7 linked regions of the Macaca mulatta genome follow. The protein of the gene in region 4 interacts with the protein of the main gene of each other region in a pairwise test. Links are inferred from orthologs where the notes say so. Each region holds a gene or a part of one and is shown on either strand. Other genes may lie near its edges.

Region 1 (4,053 bases), on a different chromosome or scaffold from region 4:
GGGATAAAGGAGAACACAAGCGGCTCCAGAAATATAATTTGACCTGGATTATACCAAATCATGTTTCCATTCGATGTATAAAATTTCTATAACAAATTTTTAGTTAGGCAACCTAATTTTTAAATACTACTCGGATACTCAAGAATAGAACAGAGGAAAAGGTGCATTTCCGAAGGTGCCAACTGTAAATTAGGTTTAGAAAGCCAGGACCAATTAAAAGTGCAAGTCGACCAAATTTAGTAAGTTCACTGTGCGTGCCCTGGGACCCAAACCCGTTTTCACTTCATTTCACTTGCCAAACTTCAGGGGCGCGTTCACCTCCACGAACGCCTGGGGGTCGATAGTGTCAGACAAAATGGCCATCTCCTCCAGAGCCTCGTCGTACTTCACCTGCAGGCCGTCCAGGCCCCGCGCGCTGCCCTCCACGCCACACACCGCGACCAGCACGCGGTCGCCATCCGGGTAGGTGAGGGGGTCCAAGGGCCTCACGGCCAGGTGGCACGGGAGCCGCGCCCGCAGCCGACCGAACGGGCTCACCTGCAGCGTCCACTCCTTTAGAGTCCGGCGCGCCGGGCCAGGCGGAGGGACCTCAGCCTCCGATCCGGGCCAGGGCTTGCCCCGACCTGAGCCGTACGGCCTGGCTTGGCAAGCCCAGGAAGCCCAGCGCCCAGTGCCAGCCCACAATCGGACCTGACGGAGACAGAGACGGAGGCAGCCAAGCTCCCAACCTGAGCAGGGGGCAAGCATGGCGCGCCCCTCTCTCCAGTCCTTAGAACACTTCAGCTACAGGGAGGGTCACTTGCCACGGCCAATCGACTTGGCCACTATGCCGCCTCAAGTCAAATAGGAGACGTCTGTCAGGGTTTGCTGAAGCAAGAGGGAGCCGGTTCGCTTGACTAGGCAATTTAAACATCAGCCACGCAAGCCCCAGAGGCAAGTTGCAATTTGAAAGCTCTAAACTCTGACCCGGACTCCTAGCCTACGCCCGCCCCTTTCGCTAAGGCGGACGGGATAGGTAGTTGTAAAGGGGTGGAACATCGCAGAGCTCTGGCATCTTAGAAACCACATATCCCAGGAGGCAATGCGCAGGGGAGCCCGGGTAAAAGGGCATGTGTTAGACTCCCTGGGAAAGGCGGGCGCCCTTTGCCTCAAGACCATTGGCTATTGGAGGGGCGGTACATAGGAGTCCAACTGGCCAATGGAAAGCACGAAAGGGGCAACGTGGGTAAAGCTGCGCGGTCACCTTGGATACCAAGGACGCGACTTCTTGTTTGGCGAGGGTGGAGCTTCGAAGTGAGACCCAGGAGGCCAAATCCCAAAAAGCCTAAAATAAGGATCAGGACCAAGGGAAGGGGTAAGAAACTGCGCTTTTTAAGATGACAACTAGGTGCAAACTAGGAGTAACCTCTGTGGGTGTCAAGACCCATGCTTCACTAACCTAGTGCAGGCGTCTCCAGGGGATAGAGAATGCCTTGGCAAGAGAGTAAAGAGCCTTTACTCTTGGTGCTTTTTGAGGGAATTGCCTCTTTGGAAGTGTATTCCCTCCTATATTTCAAATATAGGAATAGAGTACTGGCTCCTTCCTGACCCTAAGTGACCTTACTCTTTGGGTTTTAATTTGCTCACTTTAAAAATGAAGATAATAATACTTGCCTTGCCTTGCCTCAAAGGGTTTTTGTAAGGATCAAGTAAGAAAATGGATGGGAACGTGGTGCACAGTCTACAAAATTACCGTGTAAAGTACTGCATTTTTATTTCAACGTACTTAACATTGATTCTGAGTTACCAAGAAAATTATGAGAGATCAGAACTTGTTTTGAGAATAGCATTGATCTCTTTGACTACAAATGATCCTCAGTTTTAGAGTGTTTAAAAACAAAACAAAAAAAAGACACAAAAAAGGGAGTTACCATGGTGCGGTGGAAAGAACAGGGACAAGGGTCAGATTATTTTCCTGGCTCTGCCACTGCTTCATCTGTGTCACCTAGACCTGTTTCTTTAGTTTTAAAATGAAGAAAGATGGTTCTCAATGACCCTACAAGGGGTGTGTGTGTGTGTGTGTGTGTGTGTGTGTGTGTGTGTGTGTGTGTTTACCTTGTATAATTCTATGGGAAGTAAAGTAATGGGAACAGAAAGACTTATTTTCTTCTTTCCTGCCTGGTTTCTCTCTCCCCTTCTGTGCCGCTACTTCCTCCTAAAATTTATTCCCTAAATTATTTAGCCAAGACACCTGCAAACACTAACGTTTCATAAAATGCAAGTGCCTTAAAAAATTGAAGCTCTTGCCCAAGTACAATGACTAGAATTCCTGGGGCAATCGTGATAGACAGACTGGGCTAACGCCCTCCTGGGTACAAGTCTAAGGTACTCTGCCAGCCACTATCTTTTTAAAAATTCAGTGTTTTCTTAAGTTATGATTGCCTCTTTTCTGTCTTTCTAGTCCTTCTTCCCTCCTCATTCCTCCTTCAGTGAGGACTGACTCATTATAGGTGCTAGCTCAGGTTCAGCAAGGGCCCACTGCAATAGTTCTATTCTTGCCTTTGTGTTTCATTGGTTATAATTATTCAAAATAATCTTCAAACTATTTTTTAGTGAAAACTGACAGGTGTAACTTTGAAAAGAAATTTGAAAAAGGCACTGGTTTAAGGAAGTTGAGAATGTACTCAAATTTTCTGTAGAGGCACTAGACATTTTTAGATTAAATATTAATTCTTAATAGATAATTCTGTTTATATAGTAATTTTTCCTTTTCTGAGACAAACTAAGTTAATGGAATTGGCAACTGAACTATAATTTTCTATGTAGCATAATCATTATTTTACTTTTTCAAAAAACAAATAGAATTGATTGAAAATTGACTTTTCTGATCACATGAGGTTGAAAATGGAGAAAATTATTATTAAGATTGATATAAAATATTTAAAGTTATGGACATTTAAAAACAGTATAATGAGTATCAAATCTGTCCACATATAAACAGTGATTAATAAAAGTTATATCTTCCATCTATATGACATAGTTGTCAAACCATGTTCACATGCATCATCTCACTGCATCCTCGCTAATTAAGTGGGAAATTATTCTCCTCATACTATAGATGAGGAAACAGATTCAGAAACATTAAGATTAAGCAATTAGAAGATCTGGCCCTTTTATCACTCTACCAAAATGTCCTTCTATTTTCCTGACACCTTTGAAGAAAAAATGAAATTATTCACCTCATAAGTAGAAAATTATATACAACTTTTTTCTCCTTATTTAGAGTTTGTTTCTAAGATATTTTCACATCTTAGTTTTAAAAAGTCATTTCTGTGGTCATGAACATATACTTCTGGTAGGAGTGTTAAGTTAGTACAAAATTTTTAGAGTTCAATTCAGCAATAAGCATGAAAAACTTTTTCCATGACTCAGAAATTGTACTTTTGGGGATGTAAGCATAAAATTAGGGATACTCAAGAAATTACATTTTATAGGGTTACTTGTAAAAGAAAATAATTGCATCAATTTAAATGCTCCCTGGCCAGGTGCAGTGGCTCATACCTGTAATTTCAGCACTTTGGGAGGCTGAGATGGGTGGATCACCTGAGGTCAGGAGTTCGAGACCAGCCTGGCCAACATGGTGAAACTCTGTCTCTACTAAAAATTTAAAAAATTTGCTGGGCATGGTGACGGATGCCTGTAATCCCGGCTACTCAGGAGACTGAGACAGGAGAATTGCTTGAACGCAGGAGGTGGAGGTTGCAGTGAGCCACGATCACACCACTGCACTCCAACCTGGGCAGCAAGAGTGAAACTGTCTCAAAAAAAAAAAGTTAAATGCTCCCAAATAAGAGAGTATTACATGAATTATTATATATCTGATATATTATGCAACAATTTAAACATTATATCTTGATATGGGAAATATTCCATATATAAAGTGACAAGAATCGATACAAAATTGCATGTACAGTATGATCCCAATTGTGTAATAATAATAATAAATTTAACATAGAATTATACTTTACAGAAACAATTCCAGAGGGATATATACTACTTGATAACAGTGGTTAT
Region 2 (3,469 bases), on a different chromosome or scaffold from region 4:
AGCAGCCTCCAGCTTTCCCTGGCGCCTATACAGAGCTCCCAGGTTTCTCAGAGTAGTGTTCACGGTGGGGCTGTGGTGAGAAACAGACCAGAGAAGGAAGAGAGAATGGGTTCAGAAAAGAAAACATTTGTCTTCCAAGCAAGACAAGAGGAAAAAAAAAATAAGAAAATAGGAGAGGGAACAGAGCTAAAGCTCAGGGAAAGTCTACGGGAGGAAGGGAAAAGGTCTGGGAGGCCGGGAGCCTGGATGGAGGGCATCAGAGGCCAAGCTGGCTTTTCACTGGCAGCTCACCTGCTCACTTTGCAGGCCTTGTACCAGCCTCCATACTCAGCATAGGGTGTGCCACCCTCATGGTGCCGGCTCTGCAGGACAGAGAGAGGCCAGAGAGAAGGGCAGGGAGAGCCAAAGATAAGAATACAGAGATGCTGGGATGCACGGTGGCATGGGGCTAGGGTGCAGGCTGGGCTGGGGAGGACACCATGCATCTGGGGCTGGTGCTGGGGTGGGAAGTGTGAGTTGGGCTAATGGAAGGAGTAAGACAGAGACCCTGGTAGCCTTGAGCTCCCCAGGCTGGCCCCCCTTCCCCCCACTCACTTTGCTCATTTCCTCCCGCTCCTCTGCATGCATCCAGATGGGCTTGTGGTCATCTGGGGGTGATACACGGGGTGGGGAGGTTAGAGATCGGAGCTAGACAGTGTCGGAGAGCCAGGACCCAGAGGCTGACAGGCTGGACTGAAGGGGTCTGGCTCCCCCTGGGAACCACTGTGGCCTAACCCCCGACCTTTGGTCTGCATTTCTTTTCTTTCCCACAGCCCCTTCCCCAAGCCCTCACCACTCACCATCCACAGACCCAAACTCCTGCACATGGGCACGGGTCAGGATCTCTTTGTATAGTGTCTCAGCCTCAGCATATTTGCCCTGTTTCAGGTAACAGGAAGCCTAGAAGACAGAAAGGCAAAAATACAGGAACAAAACATGGAGGGAGGCAAGGTCTTTTTTTTTTCTTTTTTTCTTTTTTTTTTCCAGACAACGTCTTCACCAGGCTCAGGGAGTTCCACTTCTCGGTGTCTCTGTGACTTTCCCCAGAGATCTTTCTCACACCTCCTTCTCCAGGTGCAGGGTCAAGGGTATTCCCAGCCCACTCTCAAGAAGCTGTGGAGCTTCTATAACCAGAACGAAGCAAATCCTTCATCCGCAAAGGCAGCCCCAGAAATGGGCACAAACTTGATGAGAGTAGTGTGCCAGATTGTGATGCTTCCTAACTCTAGGACCCAGGTGGCCTCTCCTTCCCGTTCATTCCACCTACTTTGTCCCCTCCTCCCATACCAGGTTGTTCTTGGTCCGGGCTACATTAGGGTTGTCTGGCCCCAGCTGCCCCTCGTAGATGGCCAGTGCTCGCTGGTAGTAGCGTTCCACCGCCTCATACTTGCCCTGGTTTTGGCACAAGAGGGCCAGGTTGTTCAGCTGCTTTGCCACATCTGGGTGATTAGTGCCCAGGACCTGAAAGGGAACAAAGGAGTGGATAAATGGCTATGATTACATGTGTGTGCACAAGCACACGTGTCTGCTTGCATGTAGGCACACACATGTGGAAAGCAGAGGAACGGGAATGAAGGAAGAGAGAACAAGGCAGAGATGGGGGTGAGAAAAAAAAAAGTGAAAGAGGAGTGTTAGACCAGAGAAGCCATGTAGAGAAGGGTAACAGCAACAAGGGAAGAAGGGAGAGAGGGCATGGGTACCTTTTCTCGAATCTCCAGTGCCCGCTGGCACAGAGGCTCTGCCTCCTTGTATTTGCCCCTTTTGCCATAGAGCACAGCCAAATTGTTGAGTGTGGCAGCCACCTATGAAGACAGGCCGGTCCCCATCAGACATTTGGGTTGCAAATGACCTATGGGAATCTGAGGTTCCCCACCTCCCAGCAGGGCCCCACAATCACTGCACAACTCTAAGAGACAAAGACTCTACTACCCTGGAGCCAGGGGCTGAAGGGAGGGGAAACCGCTCAACAGGATGGCTCTGAGGCTAAGGGATAGTATCGCCCTCTAGGGGATTTTAAGAAATTTCTGGAGGTGGTTTTTTTTTGTTGTTTTTTTTCCTTTTTTTTAGTTGCCATGATGATTACCTTTGAGGAGGCAAGAACGCTATAGATGTTCTGCATGTGTGAGACAGCTCTGCCAACTTTTGAATGTCCTGCCGGACATCCAAACACTAAATGTAAGCATTGATATTTGATGGGATATCAAGACAGGAGGATGATTTCTGAGATACATCATCCCTGCCTATCATATGTCATACCATAGGGAATTATTTTCACACAGATCACGTTCAAAAATAACTTTTTGGCCGGACGCAGCGGCTCATGCCTGTAATCTCAGCACTTTGGGAGGCAGAGGAGGGCAGATCACCTGAGGTCAGGAGTTCAAGACCAGCCTGACCAACATGGAGAAACCCTCTCTCTACTAAAAATACAAAATTAGCCAGGCGTGGTAGCACATATCTGTAATCTCAGCTACTTGGGAGGCTGAGGCAGGAGAATTGCTTGAACCCGGGAGGTAGAGGTTGTAGTAAGCCAAGATCATGCCATGTTGCACCCTAACCTGGCAACAAGAGTGAAATTCCATCTCAACAAAAAATAAATAACTTTTCAGCTGGGTGCGGTGGCTCACACCTGTAATCCCAGAACTTTGGAAGGCCGAGGTAGGTGGATCACTTGAGGTCAGGAGTTCACGAGCAGCCTGGCCAACATGGTGAAAACCCATCTCTACTAAAATACAAAAATTACAGTAGCATGCACCTGTAATCCTAGCTACTTGGGAGGCTAAGGCAGGAGGTTCACTTGAGCCTGGGAGGCAGAGGTTGCAGTGAACCGAGATTGTACCACTGCACTCTAGGCTGGGTGATACCATGAGACTCTGTCTCAAAAAACAAAACAAAAAAAACTTTTCATTTTTCATTTTCTGTACATTGACAACTCTATCATTTGCTTTGGTGTGATATCCCTACCTTTTTTTTTTCCTTCTTTTTTATTTTTTTGGAGACAGAGTCTTGCTCTGTCGCCCAGGCTGGAGTGCAGTGGTGCAATCTCGGCTCACTGCAAGCTCCGCCTCCCGGGTTCACGCCATTCTCTTGCCTCAGCCTCCCGAGTGGTTGGGACTACAGGCACACGCCGCCACATCTGGCTAATTTTTTGCATTTTTGGTAGAGACAGGGTTTCACCATGTTAGCTAGGATGGTCTCGATCTCCTGACCCTGTGATCCGCCCAACTCGGCCTCCCAAAGTGCTGGGATTATAGGCATGAGCCACTGCGCCCGGCTGATATCCCTACTTAAGGTTGTTTCTCTCTTTCCTTTTATTTATTTGTACTTATTTATTTATTTATTTATTTTGAGAGAAAGTCTCGCCCCATCACCCAGGCTGAAGTGCAGTGGCATGATCTTGGCTCACTGCAACCTCAGCCTCCTAGGTTCA
Region 3 (4,139 bases), on a different chromosome or scaffold from region 4:
ACCAGCCTGACCAACATGGAGAAACCCCATCTCTACTAAAAATAGAAAATTAGCCGGACGTGGTGGTGGGCGCCTGTAATCCCAACTACTCAGGAGGCTGAGGCAGGAGAATCACTTGAACCTGGGAGGCGGAGGTTGCGGTTAGCCAAGATCATGCCGCTGCACGCCAGCCTGGGCAACAAGAGCAAAACTCTATCTCAAATAAATAAACAAACAGCAAGAACAGTTATGCTATTCAGCATCTTGCTGGGCCCCGGTGTGGATAGGTGGGGAGCGAGCACAAGGACCAAAGGAAAGGACCCTTATCCCTCCCTGAGCCCACACTGGTCTAATCGGGTGGCACTGCCATCCGATTCCAGTCCCTGGTGAGCAGGGGGCTCCGTGGTGGCTGTGACAAGTTACATTCGCCTTGGAGGTGGCAGCCGGAGCTATTTTTAGAGCAGTGCGTGGTGGGGGAGTTTCCTTTTGGCGGTGTCTGGGGACTGGAGTCTTGGGAAGGGGAAATCCCATGCGGAGACAGAGGCCCTTCTTCCTGCACCCAGCCCAGCCCAGAGAGGCCACCCGGCTCCCTGGAGGCACCGGCACCTCATGTCCGTCCTCAACCCAGAGCTGAGCAGACCTTCCCTGGAGCTTTTCAGGAGCCACTTCAGAAGGTACCCAGACTTTCTCTGCCTCCTGCTATGGGAGCCGCTTGCTCTCAGGGGTGTGTCCAATGATGGATGGGGAACCAGGCCCTAGGGACCTCCAGGGCTGGGGCTCCAAGTACCTCGACCTGGCTGCACCTCTGCCACCCACCACTGCCCATTTGGCCAGTCCCACCAGCCTGGCAGGACCTTTGCCACTAGCCTGGGACCGGGTGGCTGCTGATGGCTGGTTTTACGTTCAGTAATCCCCGCGCTTGGCCAGAACTTCTGAGTTTCCAGGGAAGCAGAAAAAGCAAGTTTTCTTTCTCCAGGGTGGGTTTTGTCTGCCCCTTCCTGCCTGTAGGAAGGAGACAAAATTAGGGGAGACCAGGGGCTTGAAAGCTTTCCCTGCATGGAGGCCACTGGATGGGGAACACCAAAGCCCTCCAGCCCCGGGGCTGTTCCGCTTGGTCCTCCTTCCACTTGGTCCTCCTTCCACTGTCGGTCAGCAGGGTATAGCTGCGGTTTGAGACAGGAGTCTCTGCTTTGAAATTCATCCCTTCCCTTAAGCCCTAGGCTCTCCCCAGGGGCCCGCCCTGGCATGAGTTGGCCTGGGGGGCCAGGCTTCTCCCTCCTGGCCTCAGGTGTTTCTGTACTAAGTCAGCAGCCCCTTACCCAGCCTCTCCTCTGCCACCTGCTGGGGCTGTTCAGTCTCTACCCCCAAGGAAATTTCCATGTTCAAGTAGAGAAGACACAAGGATTAGACAGAGACAGCACGGGTGAGCAGGCTGTGGAGCTGGGAGTGACTGAGTGAGTCCAGGAAGGCTGCCTGGATGAGATGCCCAGGAGAGAAGTTTGCTGGGAGGCAGCTCATTCCAGGCAGGAGGAGCAGAGCCTGCCAAGACCTGGAGGTGAGAGCAAGATCATTTCCCCAATCAGGCAGGGGTCTCTGGGATGAAGGACCTGCTAGCGGGCCTGGGACTCCTAGAGTGAGACCACAGCTTTCCCCAGCTGCATTGTGATCTCCAAAGGATCACCTTAGGCAAACGATTCAAATGCAGACTTTGGAGAGGGTTGGATCTGAGTTCAGAAACGGGCCATGCTGCTTCTCAGCTGCATGAGCTTGACAAGCCATTTAACTTCCCTGCACCTCAGTTTCTTCATCTGTGAAAGTGGAGGGCTTGCAGACCTCACAGCAGGGATATGCTGAGCTGCTGCCTGCAGTTCCCGACACAGAGGAAGCACTCAACAGATCTCAGCTTCGTCTTCAGGGAGGCTGGGAGCGAACCCAGCCTTGACTAAGTCCCAGAGTCAAGAACCTTCTGGGCAGAAGCCAAAATGCCTTGTTGCTCTTTTAACTGAGAGACAAGATGTTTACAGCTCCTGCATTTTCTTCTTCCACAATTGGGTTTTATTACCCGAGGAGGAAGTGAAAGGTGATTGCAATGCTCCTCGATTTTCAAAAAGGCGCTGGGAACCCTGCAGTGTGTGGCCCAGTTGGTTTTGAATCGCCGGTGACTTTTGGCTGATCTGTGACCACAGGGATGCCGAGCCTTCAGCAGAGGTTTCTTGGGGTTGCAGGAGGGTGGGAAGAGCAGGAGGATGGGAAGAGCCCCCTCCACCTACTGGTCAGAGATTCATTCCGCCGACCCCCCCTGGGTGCCCACTTTTTACCAGGCCCTGGGTGAGGCACTGGAGGTTTAGAGATGACCACAAAGGTCAGTCCCTGCCCTTAAAGGCTGGCCGAGGAGGCAGACATGGTGACAAAGGAAGCGGTTTGTGCCCGTAACAGCCCACCTTTAGGGAGAAACCTGTGTAGATACCACCAGATGGGAAAGGGAAGAAGGGGCCTGAGTGCCCCCTGGATGCCCAGTGTGTACTCACAGAGTCCTCGCAGCCTCCCTGCCAGTTCGGGCTGTTCCTCTTTGTGGATGGGGACGTTTAAGGCTCAGGGAGGGGACGGGACTTCCCCAAGGTCCCATAAGAAGTGCCAAGACTATGGCCGGGCGTGGTGGCTCATGCCTGTAATCCCAGCACTTTGAGAGGCCAAGGTAGGAGGATCACCTGAGGTAAGGAGTTCGAGACCAGCCTGACCACCATGGTGAAACCCCGTCTCTACTAAAAATACAAAAATTAGCTGGGCGTGGTGGTGTGCGCTTGTAATCTCAGCTACTCGGGAGCCTGACTAGTGTGTTAGGTCCTCCCTGCCAGCCAGTCTGCCTGGGTGTGGTCGTCCTTCCAGCCCCTGGGCTTGCGCTGAGTTTCTTTCTGCAATTGCTTGCTCTGGCTACTCTGAGAAGCAGGTTCAAATGACAGGAGAATCGCTTGAACCCAGGAGGCGGAGGTTGCAGTGAGCAGAGATCGCACCATTGCACTCCAGCCTGGGTGACAGAGCAAGACTCCATCTCAAAAAAAAAAGAAAAAAGGAGTGCTGAGATGAAGGAGGGCCCAGAGACCCGGTCCTGGCAGATGAGTGGGACTTTGCCCATTGAGAAGCACCAGTGGGTCTTTAGTCCAGGGCTGGTGCATGGAATGACGTGGAAGCGCCAGGTGCTGTGTCGCTGGGGAGGGGGGCCGGTCATTTAATATGGCTGCATATAGGGCCTGGCGGATATTGGGGGCAAATGCATGAGGGCAGGCTTGTGCCAGGTGGTCAGGGAATGGCTTCCTCCAGTGTGCGGACCTTGTGCTGTGGAGTTTCGGGAGAGATCTGCAGGTTCAGGCTTGTGTGTTAGGAAAACCTTTCCATGGCGGGCTGGAGGTTGGGCTGGAGGGGAGTTGGAGGCTGAAGGTGACTGTAGGGACAAGGCCAGCACAGGGTAGAGGCCCCGGGGTGAGTGAAGACATTTGGAGGAACAATGGGTGGGACTGGATGAAGACCAGGGTGGGTCCTGGAAGCTACAGCGGCCCTGTTTCTGGGTAGGCACCACGTGGCCCCCAATCAGCTGGCCTCCTGATCCTGCAGGCCCACCCTGGGGGAGGCCCCGCCACCCTGAGGAAGGGGGCAGCGGGGAACCTGTCTGCATGGCCACCTTCCAGGAGTGGCTCATGGTCCTGCGTCCCTGCACCGTAGAGAAGCCAGGCTTCCGCTGGTCATGGAGCTACAGAATCGGGGTGGGATGAATGGCGTTGCGGGTGGAGGGCTGAGGCGAGCGTGAAGGAACACAGGACCCAGCCGGAAACCAGACACCATCTGTGGCTTGTCCCCTCCAGCTCGACAGGCCCCCATGACTCTGGCCTGAGATCAGGCTGCTTCCTGTCAAGTGATGAATGGGCAACGTCTGCTTATCCTGAGACCAGACAAGAAGGGGGGCCGGGGCTGGGGAAGGGCCCAGCCGCCAGCGCCACAGCTCTGGGCCAGAATTCATTCATTCAGGCATTTATTCACACCCTCTTCCAAGGCAGTTCGGACCAAGGCAGACTTGGTTTCGAGTGTCAGTTCTGCCTGCCGCCTGCTGTGTGACCTGGCACCCGCCACTTAACCTGTCTGAACTTTGGTTTCTCCTCTGAACAATG
Region 4 (2,757 bases):
GGAGTTCAAGACCAGCGTGGGGACCATAGCAAGACCCCAGCTCTACTAGGACATTTTTTGAATTAGCCAGGCCAAGTGGTGCACACCTATAGTCCCAGCTACTTGGGAGGCTGAAGTGATTGTGCCACTGCACTCCAGCCTGGGCAACAGAGTGAGACCCTGTCTCAAAAGAAAAACTACATGTCATTGACAAATAGCTATTGGCCACTATAAGAAACCAGGCCTTGTTCCAGGTGGTGGGGGCACCCTGTTGAGTCTCGCTGGAGGACCAGAAAGGTTGAAGGCAGCGGTTGTGTATAGGGGTGGGCTACAGGACTAGGGTGGCCACGGTTGAGCCCCAGCCTCCCTGCCTGTCTGTCTCCTGTTGCAGCATCACTGCCGTGAGGCTCTCGGATGGCTTCACCTTTGTCATCTATGAGTTCTGGGAGACGGAGGAGGCATGGAAGAGGTGAGACACTGGGTCTCCATAGCAGGTGTGGGGGCTGTCTTCCTGGAGCCAGGAGCTCCTGGTGGGTAGAGAGACCCCCCACCACGCTCTTTCCCTGTAGAGCACCTTGTGGGCCAAGGCACTGCCTTCTTTATCACCCTGTAGAGCTGAGGACCTGACCTAGAAGGTACCTCAGTCCCCATGTGATCAGTTGTTCCAGCGCTTAACCTCCCCCCCAGCTGAGTGCCTTGTAGGAGGGAGGGAGATGGGGTAGGGTGTCATCAGCTCTGATGGGCTTTAGGCCTTTGTCGTCTGCTCCAAGCACATCTGGGACAGGTTGTTCCCCACTCTGGGCGGAGCCTAATTTCTGATGCGCCAGACCCCACAGGCAGGAAGCAGGGCCTGGGGGTAGCTCATGCCCCGATATCCTGCTTCCCCGGTAAACACAGTTTGCAGAGAAACTCAGGACCCCTGTGGGAACAGGGGCTGTCATGAGAAGTGAGGGTGTCCCCTGCCTGTCCGTACTTCAGTGACTCATAAAATGAGGGACTAAAACCCTTCACAGCTGCTGTGTTGTCATCCGTCCCAGGCGGAGGATGGCCCCACTCCTCCTCCTAGGGTAAAACAGGAGGTCGATGCTCTGTGCACTGAGTAGGGGGATGCCACTGCCCATGTAAGGCTCAGTGCCTACCCCAGAGTCAGCCTCCCTAGGCACCCCCTCACCTTCCCACAAAGGCTTGGAGTCCAAAGACCCCCCCCCCCGGGCTTATTTATAAGCTCCCCATTTTGGGCAGAGCTAGGATTAACAGGGGATCCACATGCCAAGCTCCACTCCTGGTGCCCCTAACACATCTCCCTGGATCGCAGGCACCTGCAAAGTCCCGTGTGTAAGGCGTTCCGGCACGTCAAGGTGGACACACTGAGCCAGCCTGAGGCCCTCTCCAGGATCTCGGTGCCAGGTAGGGGGCGAAGGCCTGGAACTGCAGTGGCCACTTGATTGGAGAGCCGGGCAAGAGCCTAGAAGCCACCCCGCCTCTCCCAGGGACTTGCCTGCAAGCTCCTGACCCCAATGCCAGGTGTGCAGGGAGGGTCCTAGGGGGAGAGGAGAGCTCCAGGCTCAGAGCCAGCCCTGAGGTGGCCCCACATCCAGGCATGCCGGCCGGAGCTTGCACCAGAGCACCCCTTCCACAGCCCGCTACTTCTAGCCAGACTGAATTTCCCTTCCCAGGTGTGTGGTTTGCTCCTGGGTGACCAGCAAGCACCCGTGGGTCACATAAGGACTCAAAGCCATCTCCCCACCTGCCCTTCAAGACGGCCCCCACCAGCTACCCACATTCGCACTCCTTCCCTCTAACCTGTCTCTGTCCTTCTAGCTGTTTGGTGCACGGTGGGACGGGACTGACAGCCTCCCAGAGGCCCGCGGAGGAGCCCACCCCTGGCCCCTTCTGCTTGTGAAGGACATCCCCTGTGTTCTAGAAACTGGTGCAGAGGCTGTCTTTTCAACCCGTCTTCCACACGGTGTTTCCCTGCTGTGACGTGAAGGAGGCCTCCCCTGCCCCCACCCGAGAAGGCAGAGCAGTCTCTGTGCTGCCCGGTCCTGGTGAAGCCCAAGGTTGTGGGTGAAGGGGGCGGCTTCCTGGGGCCAGCACCCCCACCTCCTGGTCCTGGCCTCTCCCCGACCCCTCAGACGGCCACGCATGACCCGCACTCACCACGCCCTGCCCTCTTCAGTGACATTCTTCTACCTGGTAGGAGTTAGGACCCTGTAGTGCCCAACCTAGCCAGGCCGCCGCCACTGGGCCCAGGCGCCGAATAAACCCTGGTTGGGAAGGGCTGTGTGCTCTGTGTCTGTTCCTGGTTGACAGCAGCAGGGGCCTGGGCACCCTGCAAGTGCCCCCAGCCTCCGTTTTCTGAACCATAAAATGGAGGTGTTCACTCTATGCGGTATTTTGACACATAGGCTCATGCCTATTCAGGAGCCCAGAGGGCACCACCCCCACCCTCAGGTCAGTAATTCACTCAGAGGACTGGGCGCAACTGTCAAAGTCAAGGTGGATGACAGACAAAATCCAGCAAAGAAAGAGGCTCCCGGAACAGGGGCCAGGCAGGGGCTGCCAGTAAAGGCCACAGACATCACTGAACCCTCCCAGCTTCAACAGACAGAGCATCACCAACCAGGGATGCAGTCCCAAGTCTTACTGGGGTTCGGTGACATAGACACGGCTGACACCTTGTGGCTCAAGCCCCCACCATAAGTCACATGGTTGGCACAGACCACGCAGTGTGGCCCAACTAAGACACTCACCAGGCACGATGCTCCAGGGACGGGC
Region 5 (4,222 bases), on a different chromosome or scaffold from region 4:
ACCAGTAAACAAAAGGCACGGGCTGTCCAACTGGATGAATTTAGGTCATGTGCCTGCCCCTGAACCATTCTCAGTAGCTGAGAGAATGCCTCACAGTGATTGGTTTAGGGGTGAATTCCTTCCACATTCTTGCATTTAGGGGGATGGGATTATGCTGATTAAGAGTAGGTGCAACCCTTTATGAACTCTGGCTGCTATACAATGAATGAGGCTGGCATTAATGACTGCAAGAATGGACAAATTTGGTGTTTGAATTTATTTATAGTAAGAAATAAACCATGACAACTTTTCTAAAATGTAATCTTTTAGAACACAAAAAAATTGCAGAAACAAAAATGGCCCATAATCCTGATGCTCTGTTGACCATCTTTGTTTTGTTTCTTCGTTTGAGCATATGGCAAAAAATGCAAAATTCAGAAATGTGTAACGAGCATAGAATGTTACTGGAACAATTGACAAAACTTGAACACAGACTACATACTAAACAACAGCATGAAATTTCAGTTTTTCTGAATTTGACGACTGCAGTGTGGTTATGTAAGAGAATGTCTTTTCTTAGGAGATACACCGTGAAACAGAGGAAAAAGGACATGATTCTGAAACTCTCAAATGTTTCAAAAAGTAACATATTGAAATCACACATAGGTACACATGTGCATAGGTATACATATATATGTATAGAGACAGCAGTAGCAAATGTGTTAACATTTGGCAAATCTGGATAAGGATTTGCAATTCTGCTGCATTTGAAATTATTTAAAAATACAAAACTTGAGTGTTTGGAGAAACAGGAATAAGAAATATTTTGTTACTATATTTGCGGCTTCTATACAGTCTTTTACGACGCAATTGAAAAAAAAAACTAAACTAAAAAATATAACATAAATCTTCCCTCCCATAGTGGCCAGAAACCCCTGCCAAGTTCTTCGGATATCGTAACAGGAAAAAAATGCAAAGCAATATGTCTTTCTATAAAGATTACTTATTTACTAATTATCATTTTTTAATTTTCATGAAGATCAACAACAAAGTTTTTTTAAAATAATGACTTTGAGAATCATTTTGCGGTATTTGTTTAAGGCTCTCGCCCAGGAAAACGCCCAGGGACCATGCGCGCTTCAACCCAGTGGAAACACGAAAGGCCCAGGGACCGCCCCTTCGCGTTGCTTGACGGGATCTGGAGTCCTCCCGCTCCGCCCTGCCAGGCGCTCGGGAACCGCCCGTCTGCTCCCTCATCTCGCGATGCCATCCTCCTTTTTTTTTTTTTTTCCCCCCTCCCACTCGCCCCTAAGCCCTATGACTCCCTCCCCTCTCAACGTGTTTTTCAAATCCACCAATGGGCACACAGCTTGGGCTCGAACCAGCCAATCGGAATGCGGAGTCACCGGGAAATTTAAATCGCGCCGGCCGGCTGCACGAGCCACACGGTCTTTGAGCTGAGTCGAGGTGGACCCTTTGAGCGCAGCCGTCCCACAGCCGCTGATTCCCCGCATCGCCTCCCGTGGAAGCCCGGGCCCGCTTCTCAGGTACAGACTCAGGCGGCGGCTCGGCCCGAGCGCTAACGGTTTGCCCGCGGGCGGCGTTCGCCTTTGGGTGGGGGGAAGGAGGCCCCGGGTCCACGCCGAGCCTGGCTCAGCCTCCCGCGTTGTCTAGGCCTCGGGGGCGACTGGTTCATTGACCAGGCGGCTGAGTTTCGCGGGGTCTGCGGGTTTAGGGCGCCGACGCTCTTCAAACGGCAGCGGAGACCATAACGCGTCGCGGCCGGGAGAATCGGAGCGAGCCAGGCCTGAGGGCGAATGTCCCGGGAGGGCTCGTGGCGGCCCTGGCCTCGCTTCCCCCTTTCTTGTTGCATCTTCCCCGACGTAGGGGCAGGGGCAGGGGCTGGGGGTGGCAGTTGGGAGCACTGTCTCTGACACTTTGGCCCCGGGGTGGCTGTGCCACCAAGTCGTAGGCGAGCGTAATGAAAGCAAAGATAGCAAATTGTAAGGAGGGCTTTGACTTTTGTCGTCTTCTGAATGACGCACAGCTGATGTCGTCCTAATTAAGTGCATTCGCTCCTAGTCTCTGGAAATGCAAATCAAATATGCGACATGCGGCACTGCATTTTTAATGTTGACCATAATGTAATGATGAAGCAAATTTTTTTTAGTTTTCGAATCTGCACCTATTTTGGCCAAGTAAAGACAGTAAAGTAGTGCGAGCCTCCTGAGAATCTGAATTTATTGCCCTGGCACATAATTTTTAGCTGTAAGTTAACTTGGTTCCCCTGCTTTGCCTTGGATTAACTATTAGGGACTCTGGAGTATCGAGCCAGGCTGTCAGAAACGGTGGACACACGTGGCTAGTCCAAATTGAAATACGCTGTAAGCTTAAAGTACACAAAAGACTTCAAAGATAGAGTATGGAAAAAGAATGTAAAAGATGTCAGTTATTTTATATATTGAAATATATATGTTGAAATACTATTTGGATATGTTGGGTTAAGTAAAATAAATTATTGAAATTAGTTTCACTTGTTTCTTTTCGCCTTTTAAAAAGTATGGCTACTAGGAAGTTTCAATTTATATAGCTTGCATTCTATTTCTGATGGACAGCCCTCTCCAGGAAGTCTCAGCGCTTCAGAGGGAAGGGGGACAGTTCCCGTTTGGGTAAAGCTATTTCATAGTGCTGAAAGCATGATGATCCCCCCTCTAGTATACAGGTGTGGATTCAGTAGATGCTTGATAATTCAATTCTTATTTGGTACTATTATTGACAAAGGAAAATGATAAAGGAAATATTTTTTCTCCTCGCCCATCTTTTAGCTTTCTCCCTTTGTCTCATAACCATGTCCACCAATGAGAATGCTAATACACCAGCTGCCCGTCTTCACAGATTCAAGAACAAGGGAAAAGACAGTACAGTGAGTACCTTCTGTTGCTTTCCTGTGGTGGTGTTTAAATGGGAGGACATTTGGAAAGGGGTGAAAACTTAGGGATCTTTTTAAAAATACCCTCACTTAGCAACAAAAACTGATGTGATAGGTGAAACGGCATGTTATCTTTTCTCAAGGAAATGAGGCGTCGCAGAATAGAGGTCAATGTGGAGCTGAGGAAAGCTAAGAAGGATGACCAGATGCTGAAGAGGAGAAACGTAAGCTCATTTCCTGATGATGCTACTTCTCCGCTGCAGGAAAACCGCAACAACCAGGTAAAAAATGTATTTTGGTTTATGAGTTACGTGAAATCCAGAAAATCAGTAGGAACTTTTCTTAGAAATTCAAGTAAACTTAACATTTTTAGCCTTAGGTTGTAACTATCTGTGAAGATCTTTTTCTCTGTTCCCAATTAGTAATTGTCTTCTTTCCTGCCTTCCATAATCCACTGAAGCTGATTTAGGATCTTCCTTTAGCTCTGACCTTCCTTCAGACTTCCCTGCATTTCTAGCTGCTAACTGGGTACCTTGACCTGACCACTGTGTCCAGAGCCAACCAGTTTCTGGTTTATTCTTTTTTTTTTTTTTTTCCCTAGACGGGGTCTTGCTTTGTTGCTCAGGCTGGAGTGCAGTGGCACAATCTTGGCTCACAGCAACCTCTGCCTCCTGGGTTCAAGCAATTCTCCTGCCACAGCCTCCTGAGTAGCTGGGATTACGGGCACGCACCACCATGCTTGACTAGTTTTTGTATTTTTGTTTTGTTTTGTTTTTTTGAGTTTCCCTCTGTCGCCCAGGCTGGAGTACAGTGGTGTGATCTCAGCTCACTGCAAGCTCTACCTCCCAGGTTCACGCCATTCTCTTGCCTCAGCCTCCCAAGTAGCTGGGACTACAGGCACCTACCACCCTGCCCAGCTAATTTTTTTCTATTTTTAGTAGAGACGGGGTTTCATCATGTTAGCCAGGAAGGTCTCTGATCTCCTGACCTCGTGATCCACCCGCCTCGGCCTCCCAAAGTGCTGGGATCACAGGTGTGAGCCACTGCCCGGTCTGTTTTTGTATTTTTAGTAGAGGCAGAATTTCACCATGTTGGCCATGCTAGTCTTGAACTCCTGACCTCGTGATATGCCTGCCTTGGCCTCCCAAAGTGCTGGGATTACAGGCGTGAGCCACCAGGCCCTGCCCGTTTTTGGTTTATTTCTGCCTTTTTTGGTATTCTCTCTTTTTTTGTATTTGTCACCAGCTTTGTTCAGGACTTTCCTTCTGAAATATTTACGGTAGCCTCCTAAGTTATCATTTCCTCCTTTCTGTG
Region 6 (3,500 bases), on a different chromosome or scaffold from region 4:
TCAGGTGATCCACCTGCCTCGGCCTCCCAAAATGCTGGGATTACAGGTGTGAGCCCTCACTCCCGGCCCAAAGCCTAATTTCATCCATGCCATGCTACCTAAAAATGAAGCAAGGCATAAACAGCCCTGAGGATGGTCACCATCTTATGGAAGTAGACACTCTTTCAGTTCATCAATCTTTGCCTTACCTGTCTCAATGCTCCATAAGACTAGGCTTAAAATATGGCAGTTGGACATATTTTTCTCCCATGGTTTTCTTTTTCTCTAAAATAAATAGGAAACCACAAGGGAAAAGTGATGGTTGTGGTTAAAAAAAAAAAAAAGTTGGAGAGAGGGAGATTGCTACTGATACTGACTACTTCATATGATATGTACTATAGATTAATAAAAATTTACTGATTGGGCCGGGCATGGTGGCTCACCCCCGTAATCCCAGCACTTTGGGAGGCTGAGGCGTGTGGATCACCTGAGGTCAGGAGTTTGAGACCAGTCTGGCCAACATGGTGAAACGCTGTCTCTATTAAAAATACAAAAATTAGCCAGGCGTGGTGGTGGACGCCTGTAATCCCAGCTGCTTGGGAGGCTGAGGCAGGAGAATCACTTGAACCCAGGAGGTGGAGGTTATAGTGAGCCGAGATTGTGTCACTGCACTCCAGCCTGGGTGACAGAGCGAGACAACCTTTAAAAAAAAAAAAAAATTACTGACTGTTTCAGCATCACATATGGCATATATATAGTAGATAAAATTTCCTTATTCTAAATGTTCTAAGGCCAGGTTTGAAGAAGACACTTATCTGTCTAGCTTATAGAAGTTTTTGGGGAGTTTACCGCAAATATCTTCAAGAGCCTATAATGTACAAAATACTGTGCTAAGTGCTTGGAGGATATGATGATAAATTAGAGCTTATAGACCATGAGCAGAGACATACAAATCCATAAATGGCAGGCATCATAGAAGGCCATAAAAGATGCATGCAGAAAAGAAGAGGGAGTCATTAATTTGGAGGGATATGGGAAGAGGTATAGGTTGTAGTTTCTCTTTGTTCATTCCCCTGTAAGGGTGGGCTTAGAGTTAATACAAAGGGGCCAGGCAAGATGGTTCACGCCTGTAATCCAGGCACTTTGGGAGGCCGAGGCAGGCAGATCACCTGAGGTCAGGAGTTTAAGACCTCTGGTCACCTGAGGTCGGGAGTTCAAGACCAGCCTGGCCAACATGATGAACCCCTGTCTTTATTAGAAATACAAAAATTAGCTAGGCATGGTGGCACAAGCCTGTAATCCCAGCTACTTGGGAGGTTGAGGCATGAGAATCGCTTGAGCCCGGGAGGCAGAGGTTGCAGTGAGCTGAGATCGCACCACTGCACTCCAGCCTGGGTGACACAGTGAGACTTCATCTAAAAAAAACGCATAAAAATAAAAACACAAAATTAGCCAGGCATAGGAGCATGCACCTATAATCCCAGTTACTCAGGAGGCTGAGGCAATCTTGGCTCACTGCAACTTCTGCCTCCCAGGTTCAAGCAATTCTTCTGCCTCAGCCTCCCAAGTAGCTGGGATTATAGGCACCCACCACCACACCTGGCTAATTTTAGTATTTTTAGTAGAGACGGGGTTTCACCATATTGGTCAGGCTGGTCTCTTGGCCAGGCTGGTCTTGAACTCCTGACCTCGTGATCCGCCCGCCTTGGCCTCCCAAAGTGCTGGGATTACCGGCCCGAGCCACCCTGCCCGTCCTCCGTCAAAGGTTCTTACCTTGTAAGTGACTGAGTTAGAATTTCAGCTGTATCTCAAGTTGCTGGGCCCAAAACTCATAGAATATTGACATTTTATCAGTTATAAAATGCCTCCATGTACAAGCACTGCTGGGGAAGGTAATCACCTCTATGTGGAGAGGGGTTTACACACAGTATAGGTTGAATACCAGCTTGTTGGGATGTTTTAGAGGAGATTCAAACGTTAGCTAGTTGTTGGATGGCATGGTGTTTAAGGTCTTTTCCAACTTTTTGATGCCATCATCAGTATTTTGTTCAAATTTAAAAGACACATAGATGTTCTCTAATCTTGATTAAACAATTATTTTATTTCAGTGAAGAAAATATTTGGAAGCTCTGTGAATACATCAAAAACCATGACCAGTATCCTTTGCAAGAATGTTATGCTGTCTTCATATCTAATGAGAGGAAGATGGTAAGTTGGTGAGTGAGTGCAGGAAGAAAACGAGATTTAACATGACATTAGAAGCTAAATTAAATTTAAAAAAAGAAGCAAAATATAGCATGGGTGTAGTACTCTTCTGAAGTGTGCTTTATAAAATACAGCAACATTTAAAAGTTTTCTTTTGAATGAGATTTTTTTCCTTACAAGGCATGATTGAGTTAGATGAGTTGAGTCCCTTCTGTTGCCCAGGCTGGAGTGCAATGGTGCAATTCTTGGCTTACTGCAACCTCCACCTCCCGGGTTCATCTCCTTCCTCAGCTTCCTGAGTAGCTGGGACGTACAGGCATGTGCCACCACGCCAGGCTAATTTTTGTATTTTTTAGTAGAGCTGGGGTTTTGCTATGTTGGCCAGGCTGTTCTCGAACTCCTGGCCTCAAGTGATCCTTCCGCCTTGTTCCCACAAAGTGCTGGGAGTACAGGCGTGAGCCACCATGCCCAGTTTAGTCCCTTATTTTAGGTAAGGAAATTTGTGATGGTCTACACAGATTAAGTCCCTTTTCTTTAGGCATTAATGTAGACCTGGTTTTTTTTTTGTTGTTGTTGTTGTTTGTCTTTTATTTTCTTTTTTGATACGGAGTCTCGCTCTATCGCCCAGGCTACAGCACAATGGCACGATCTCGGCTCACTGCAACCTCTGTCTACCAGGTTCAAGGGATTCTTGTGCCTCAGGCTCCCGAGTAGCTGGGACTACAGGTGCCCACCACCATGCCTGGCTAATTTTGTATTTTCAGTAGAGACAGGCTTTCTCCACGTTGGCCAGTCTGGTCTCCGACTCCTGACCTCAGGTGACCTGCCTGCCTTGGCCTCCCAAAGTGCTGGGATTACAGGCGTGAGCCACTGTGCCTGGCCATTTTTTTTTTCTTTTTTTAAATTCAAGATGGAAGATGTAGACTTTTAAAAAATTGCTTAGATATGCATACTCTCAGTTTTAAAATAAGGATTTGTCTCTGGAGTTTAAATAGAACTACAGTCAACTTATATGAGGAATTAGAAAAAGGAAGCCCTTCGTATTTTGTAAAACACGTTTGCAGGCATCATCTCATTTGATCCCAATGGAAGCCCTGTGAAGGCAGGCAAGGTTTGGACAACTTGCTTCATTTTATAGATGAGAAAATTAAGACTTAGGGTGGCCCTATGAATAATTAAATGGGAAAGCAAGACTTGATACCTGCAAGGACTTCTGATTCCTAGTTCAGATCCCTTTTCACTCTCTGAAGACCATCATACAATAACTTGTGCTCTTGAGAGCTTTCATTCTTGGGGATACTTAGAAGGATTTAGAT
Region 7 (4,025 bases), on a different chromosome or scaffold from region 4:
TAGCAGCTGAAACGTAAATGAAGATGAGAACTCAGTCTACATGACCTAAGATTTCCCACAAGTCCAGATATTTAGGTTACGCAGACTGCATTATTGTCCGATTTCTCCTCTGCATTAATCTGGAAGTCTACAGAACAGATTAGCACACAACAATCTTAACTAAGCTAGTATCCAACTCTGAAGGAAGGCGAAGCTGGTGGAGGGTTTCCAAGACTGCTTATCCTTCTCTGTCCTTCCTCCCATACCCTCCTTATGTCTTTTTTGGTTTTTGTTTGTAAAATTTAAAAATATTTAATTTTTTTAAATGTATTTTTAGTCACAAGAAAATCAAAGAAGCCACCCATTTCAGTCTTAAGCTCTGCCCTTTGCCTAGTCCTAATGGAGGGTTCTTTGGCCATCTATGTATAAAAGATGAGAGAAGCCAAAGAGACTGGAGAACCACCACATCAATGGGAGCTTTTTCATCTAAAGGTCATCTGTCCACACTGTCCAAATGAGGTTTACCCTGTGAAATAAACTTGGCATAAGTGCTACCTGTTGAGAAAAACAGTGTGAAATGTCACGCAAAGGACTGGGGTGCAGCAGGAGGACTCTGAAAAAGTCATACGTGTAAACCAGCAGGTCTTAGAATGTTCTAATATACTATATGCAGTTTCAGAGTAAACAAATGGTTAATGACACATCTTTTGTAACACATGAATCAGCTACTGATTTGCAAGAGTGGGACACACCCTAGTACCTATGACTCTAAAGTACCTGTTTGAAAAGTGGACCTAGATGTCTGAATTGCCAACCTATCCTAAAATTGGAACAGAATTTTATAACTATGTAAGTTGCCATAATTTAAAGTTAAAAAGATCACTGCCTTTCATTATAATGGAAGTTAATTTGAGAACTTCATTAAAACGTTCACACCGATAATCAAAGAACAGTAGCAATGCAAAGTAAGGTACAGCCAATCAATCCTAGGAAGCAAACACAAGAGGCAAGAGAAATGGCAGGTAAAGGAACTGAAGAATAGCAAATTCAAGAATTACAAGCATTACAAAGTTCTAAAGAAAAATGAATAAAATGAGGCTGGTAATGAAAAAATAACACATCTTACCTTAAGAGGCATCCAAATAGCATTCATAGTGTCAGGATATAAAGACAATACTCAGAAATGAGCAAGAAGTCTTAGTAATTCCCTCGGTTACCAAGTATGAGCAGGTAGGAAAATCTTTTGTTTCGATAAGGTATCTGAAAGAGAGGATTTTCATTTAGACTAAAAAATAATCAAGAAAATGCAAATAGTTTAAGCTACATGGGCAGGGATTTTGAAGTACTATTTGCCTCATCGCACTAAAAAAGTATAGAAAATACAGTCCCCTTTAGAAAACGGCAAATGTGTGTGTGTCTCCGTACATATGTGTAGAAACATACGTTATATAAAAAGAGAAATAAATATGTAACACTTACTTTAGATAATGTAAAATTGCTTATCAAACAGCCAAAATCCCAGAGAGAATAAAGTTTCCAGGGTACCTCATAAACACTAAACGTGATTTGTTAACTAACCATCTAAAAAAAGACCCTTGCTACATTTAATTATATTTAGTAAAGTAAAACCTCTCTAATCATCCCGACTGTCCCAAGATTATGCTTAAGTTTCAGAGTCAATTCCACATGAAAAGTAAAACCTATTCTTGACTGAAGTACTAGAAACAAATAAAATACCCTTCTTCCCCAGAGATCGTTAAAAGCAGACCGAGCAACTTAATTTTGAGGGTAGGAGGAAGGTAAATTTGCCTGGAGGCTGGAGGATGGACTAAATGACCTCTAGTAGGATCCTCGTTCAAGTCCTGGGCCTGAATACAATTCCAGCTTAACCAGTTACTGCTTCGCTTAAAATGGAGGCTTGCCCGCGTAGGGACAAAAATAACAGCACCCACTTCGTTAAAAACAAATGTCGAAAAGTACCCTTATTTAAATAAAAATAAAAAATAAACACCTCTGGAGTGGATGTGTTCTTGCTATGCGTTTGTCACTGAGGCTTCGAAGACTTGGCATCACTTTCCTTACCGCTCACCGGATTTTGGGGGAGGAGCGGGGGGCGGCAGTTTGACTCCTGACCCAAGTCTCAGGCAGGCTTCAAAGCCCCACCAGGGCCCCCAACTCCAGAGCCAGAGGGAGCGGAGAGGCGAGAGCCCGAGATCGCACCTCCCCCCACCGCGGACCCCAGTCCCAAACCTACCCCTCACCCCTCCGCAGTGGGGCGCCTCCTTCTGCCCCATTCCCATTGTTAGGGAGGGGAGAGCGCGGGGTGGGCTCAGGGCAGGGGCGCCCGCGGCCGTTGCCCGGCTCGCTTCAGGAGGGGCGGCCCGCGGGATGCGGCTTCCCTTCCTCTCCGCGTCGGTCCGTCCCACCTCGGCTCGGCCTGGCGCCCCGAGCTCCGCTCCGCGCCCCCGGCCGCGGCCCCGGCCCGCCCCCGGGGCAGCCAGGCCCCCCGGCCACTCGGTCGGCAGCCTGCGGCCCAGGCCTACGAGTGGGCGCTGGGCGGGGGTCCCCGTGCCCCACACACGCGTCCCTCCCCGAGCCCCGCCGCTTCCAGGGCCCTCGGCGGCGCCCGCTCCCCGGGCCCCGCCGCCCCCCGCCTCCCAGCCGGGCCGCTCCCTCGAGCTCGTCGTGTCGGGGCCGCCGCCTCTACCTCACCATCACCCCTGTCCACTCGTGCCCCCACCCCCAGGGGCACCAGTGCCAAAGACAGCTCCCCCAGCCCCGGACCTACCTGCACGGTTCAACCAAGCCTAGAAGTGGGGGCGGGGAATCTTCCGCCCTCCTCTGGCGTTCATTGGCCCTTCAGGGGCATATCGTGAGCGCCATTGGCTGAGCGATAGTGTCCGTCAGAGAGATGGGGCGGGACCGAAGGGGGAGAGGGATGCTGGTGCCTCGGCGTCTCTGTCTCTGTGTATCTCGCTGTCTCTGTCTCTGTCTCGGCCCTTGGAAACGAGAGGCTTTTGGATGAGAGGACTAGAAGCGGGCCTGAGGTGGGAGGAATAGGAATAGGAATCCTGCCAGAGCGTCACGCCAGTTGGCCACTCTGAACCCCCTACCTAAGTCCCCTTTAGGTTCTCTTCTCCATCACCCCCAACCCCTGCCCCTCACCCCTCGAGGTTCCTTCATCCAGGAAGCGACGTGATGAAAACTCCAGGCCGGAAGGCCATAGGGAGAGATGTTATATATGTATAGAAAATATACACATATAAATATTTATATATAAATTCAACCAGATATCAGTTCACTAGGGCCTGGAAAGGAAAGGGCACACATCTCACAGACAGGGAAGGACTTGAGATAGAGCCGGCAGAAGAAGGAATCAAAAATCACTCTTAAGAGCTGGCAACAGTGGTTACCTCCTGGGAGGGGAACTGAGTGCCTAGGGAACCAGTGGGCGGAAGACTTACATATCTCGGCGTATCCTTTGTATCCATTGATTTTTGCACCATTCATCAAGATTCCAATTTTTTAAAAATTGATTTAAAGGTTTAAATAAGGTCCCAAAACCAGGGGACAGATAAGATAGTTGGCCAGGAAAATTGGCACAACATGCAGATTTGGGGAGGAATCTTAGCTTTTAATATATTCAGTTCCAGGTAACAGGGTTTTGTAAAACCCAGTGAAGGTGTCCTAGAGGCAACTGAAGTTACAGAACTTGAGAGAGGGTAGACAATCAGGACTAGAGACTATGTGGGGTCCTCTGCCTGAAGATAGTGGTCTGTGACATGCTAAACTCCCTAAGCAGGGTAATAAGACACCCACGGTAAAAGGTAGGAGAACGAAAAAGAAGGTCAGTGAGGTAAAAGAAACAGAATATTAAAGAGGCATGAAAATTAAGGAAGGAAGGGTCTGTGGAAAATAGAACAATAAAACTATGAGAGAGGACGGGCGCGGTGGCTCATGTTTGTAATCACAGCACTTTGGGAGGCCAAGGCAGGTGGATCACCTGAGGTCAGGAGTTCCAGACCAGCCTGGGCAGCATGGTGAAA

Evidence for each region.
Region 1: the proteins of NECAB2 (region 4) and CCDC146 interact in binary tests that used the Homo sapiens proteins (3 or more experiments, as listed by UniProt). The two-hybrid records come from large-scale screens. The link is inferred for Macaca mulatta from reciprocal best matches to the Homo sapiens genes NECAB2 and CCDC146.
Region 2: the proteins of NECAB2 (region 4) and KLC4 interact in binary tests that used the Homo sapiens proteins (3 or more experiments, as listed by UniProt). The two-hybrid records come from large-scale screens. The link is inferred for Macaca mulatta from reciprocal best matches to the Homo sapiens genes NECAB2 and KLC4.
Region 3: the proteins of NECAB2 (region 4) and NEK6 interact in binary tests that used the Homo sapiens proteins (3 or more experiments, as listed by UniProt). The link is inferred for Macaca mulatta from reciprocal best matches to the Homo sapiens genes NECAB2 and NEK6.
Region 5: the proteins of NECAB2 (region 4) and KPNA2 interact in binary tests that used the Homo sapiens proteins (3 or more experiments, as listed by UniProt). The two-hybrid records come from large-scale screens. The link is inferred for Macaca mulatta from reciprocal best matches to the Homo sapiens genes NECAB2 and KPNA2.
Region 6: the proteins of NECAB2 (region 4) and NTAQ1 interact in binary tests that used the Homo sapiens proteins (3 or more experiments, as listed by UniProt). The two-hybrid records come from large-scale screens. The link is inferred for Macaca mulatta from reciprocal best matches to the Homo sapiens genes NECAB2 and NTAQ1.
Region 7: the proteins of NECAB2 (region 4) and KANSL1 interact in binary tests that used the Homo sapiens proteins (3 or more experiments, as listed by UniProt). The two-hybrid records come from large-scale screens. The link is inferred for Macaca mulatta from reciprocal best matches to the Homo sapiens genes NECAB2 and KANSL1.

What each region holds. Positions count from the first base shown.
Region 1 is NC_133408.1:142,434,930-142,438,982, reverse strand, and holds the start of CCDC146 (coiled-coil domain-containing protein 146), read left to right. Parts: upstream 1-1,253; 5' UTR 1,254-1,354; intron 1,355-4,053. Other genes in the region: protein FAM185A, read right to left, coding at 297-747. UniProt on the Homo sapiens protein: Essential for sperm flagellum biogenesis and male fertility.
Region 2 is NC_133409.1:139,056,935-139,060,403, forward strand, and holds part of KLC4 (kinesin light chain 4), read right to left. Parts: intron 1,842-3,469; coding exon 1,740-1,841; intron 1,501-1,739; coding exon 1,327-1,500; intron 940-1,326; coding exon 840-939; intron 648-839; coding exon 595-647; intron 363-594; coding exon 292-362; intron 71-291; coding exon 1-70.
Region 3 is NC_133420.1:23,495,493-23,499,631, reverse strand, and holds the start of NEK6 (serine/threonine-protein kinase Nek6), read left to right. Parts: upstream 1-1,339; 5' UTR 1,340-1,461; coding exon 1,462-1,534; intron 1,535-4,139. UniProt on the Homo sapiens protein: Protein kinase which plays an important role in mitotic cell cycle progression. Required for chromosome segregation at metaphase-anaphase transition, robust mitotic spindle formation and cytokinesis.
Region 4 is NC_133425.1:79,364,322-79,367,078, forward strand, and holds the end of NECAB2 (N-terminal EF-hand calcium-binding protein 2), read left to right. Parts: intron 1-370; coding exon 371-448; intron 449-1,294; coding exon 1,295-1,386; intron 1,387-1,800; coding exon 1,801-1,829; 3' UTR 1,830-2,257; downstream 2,258-2,757. UniProt on the Homo sapiens protein: May act as a signaling scaffold protein that senses intracellular calcium.
Region 5 is NC_133421.1:77,786,212-77,790,433, forward strand, and holds the start of KPNA2 (importin subunit alpha-1), read left to right. Parts: upstream 1-1,422; 5' UTR 1,423-1,526; intron 1,527-2,804; 5' UTR 2,805-2,827; coding exon 2,828-2,902; intron 2,903-3,051; coding exon 3,052-3,189; intron 3,190-4,222.
Region 6 is NC_133413.1:133,845,073-133,848,572, forward strand, and holds part of NTAQ1 (protein N-terminal glutamine amidohydrolase), read left to right. Parts: intron 1-2,087; coding exon 2,088-2,187; intron 2,188-3,500. UniProt on the Homo sapiens protein: Mediates the side-chain deamidation of N-terminal glutamine residues to glutamate, an important step in N-end rule pathway of protein degradation.
Region 7 is NC_133421.1:71,124,842-71,128,866, forward strand, and holds the start of KANSL1 (KAT8 regulatory NSL complex subunit 1), read right to left. Parts: upstream 2,801-4,025; 5' UTR 2,768-2,800; intron 2,417-2,767; exon of another isoform or gene 1,991-2,416; intron 1,240-1,990; 5' UTR 1,129-1,239; coding exon of another isoform or gene 1,106-1,128; intron 1-1,105. UniProt on the Homo sapiens protein: Non-catalytic component of the NSL histone acetyltransferase complex, a multiprotein complex that mediates histone H4 acetylation at 'Lys-5'- and 'Lys-8' (H4K5ac and H4K8ac) at transcription start sites and promotes transcription initiation.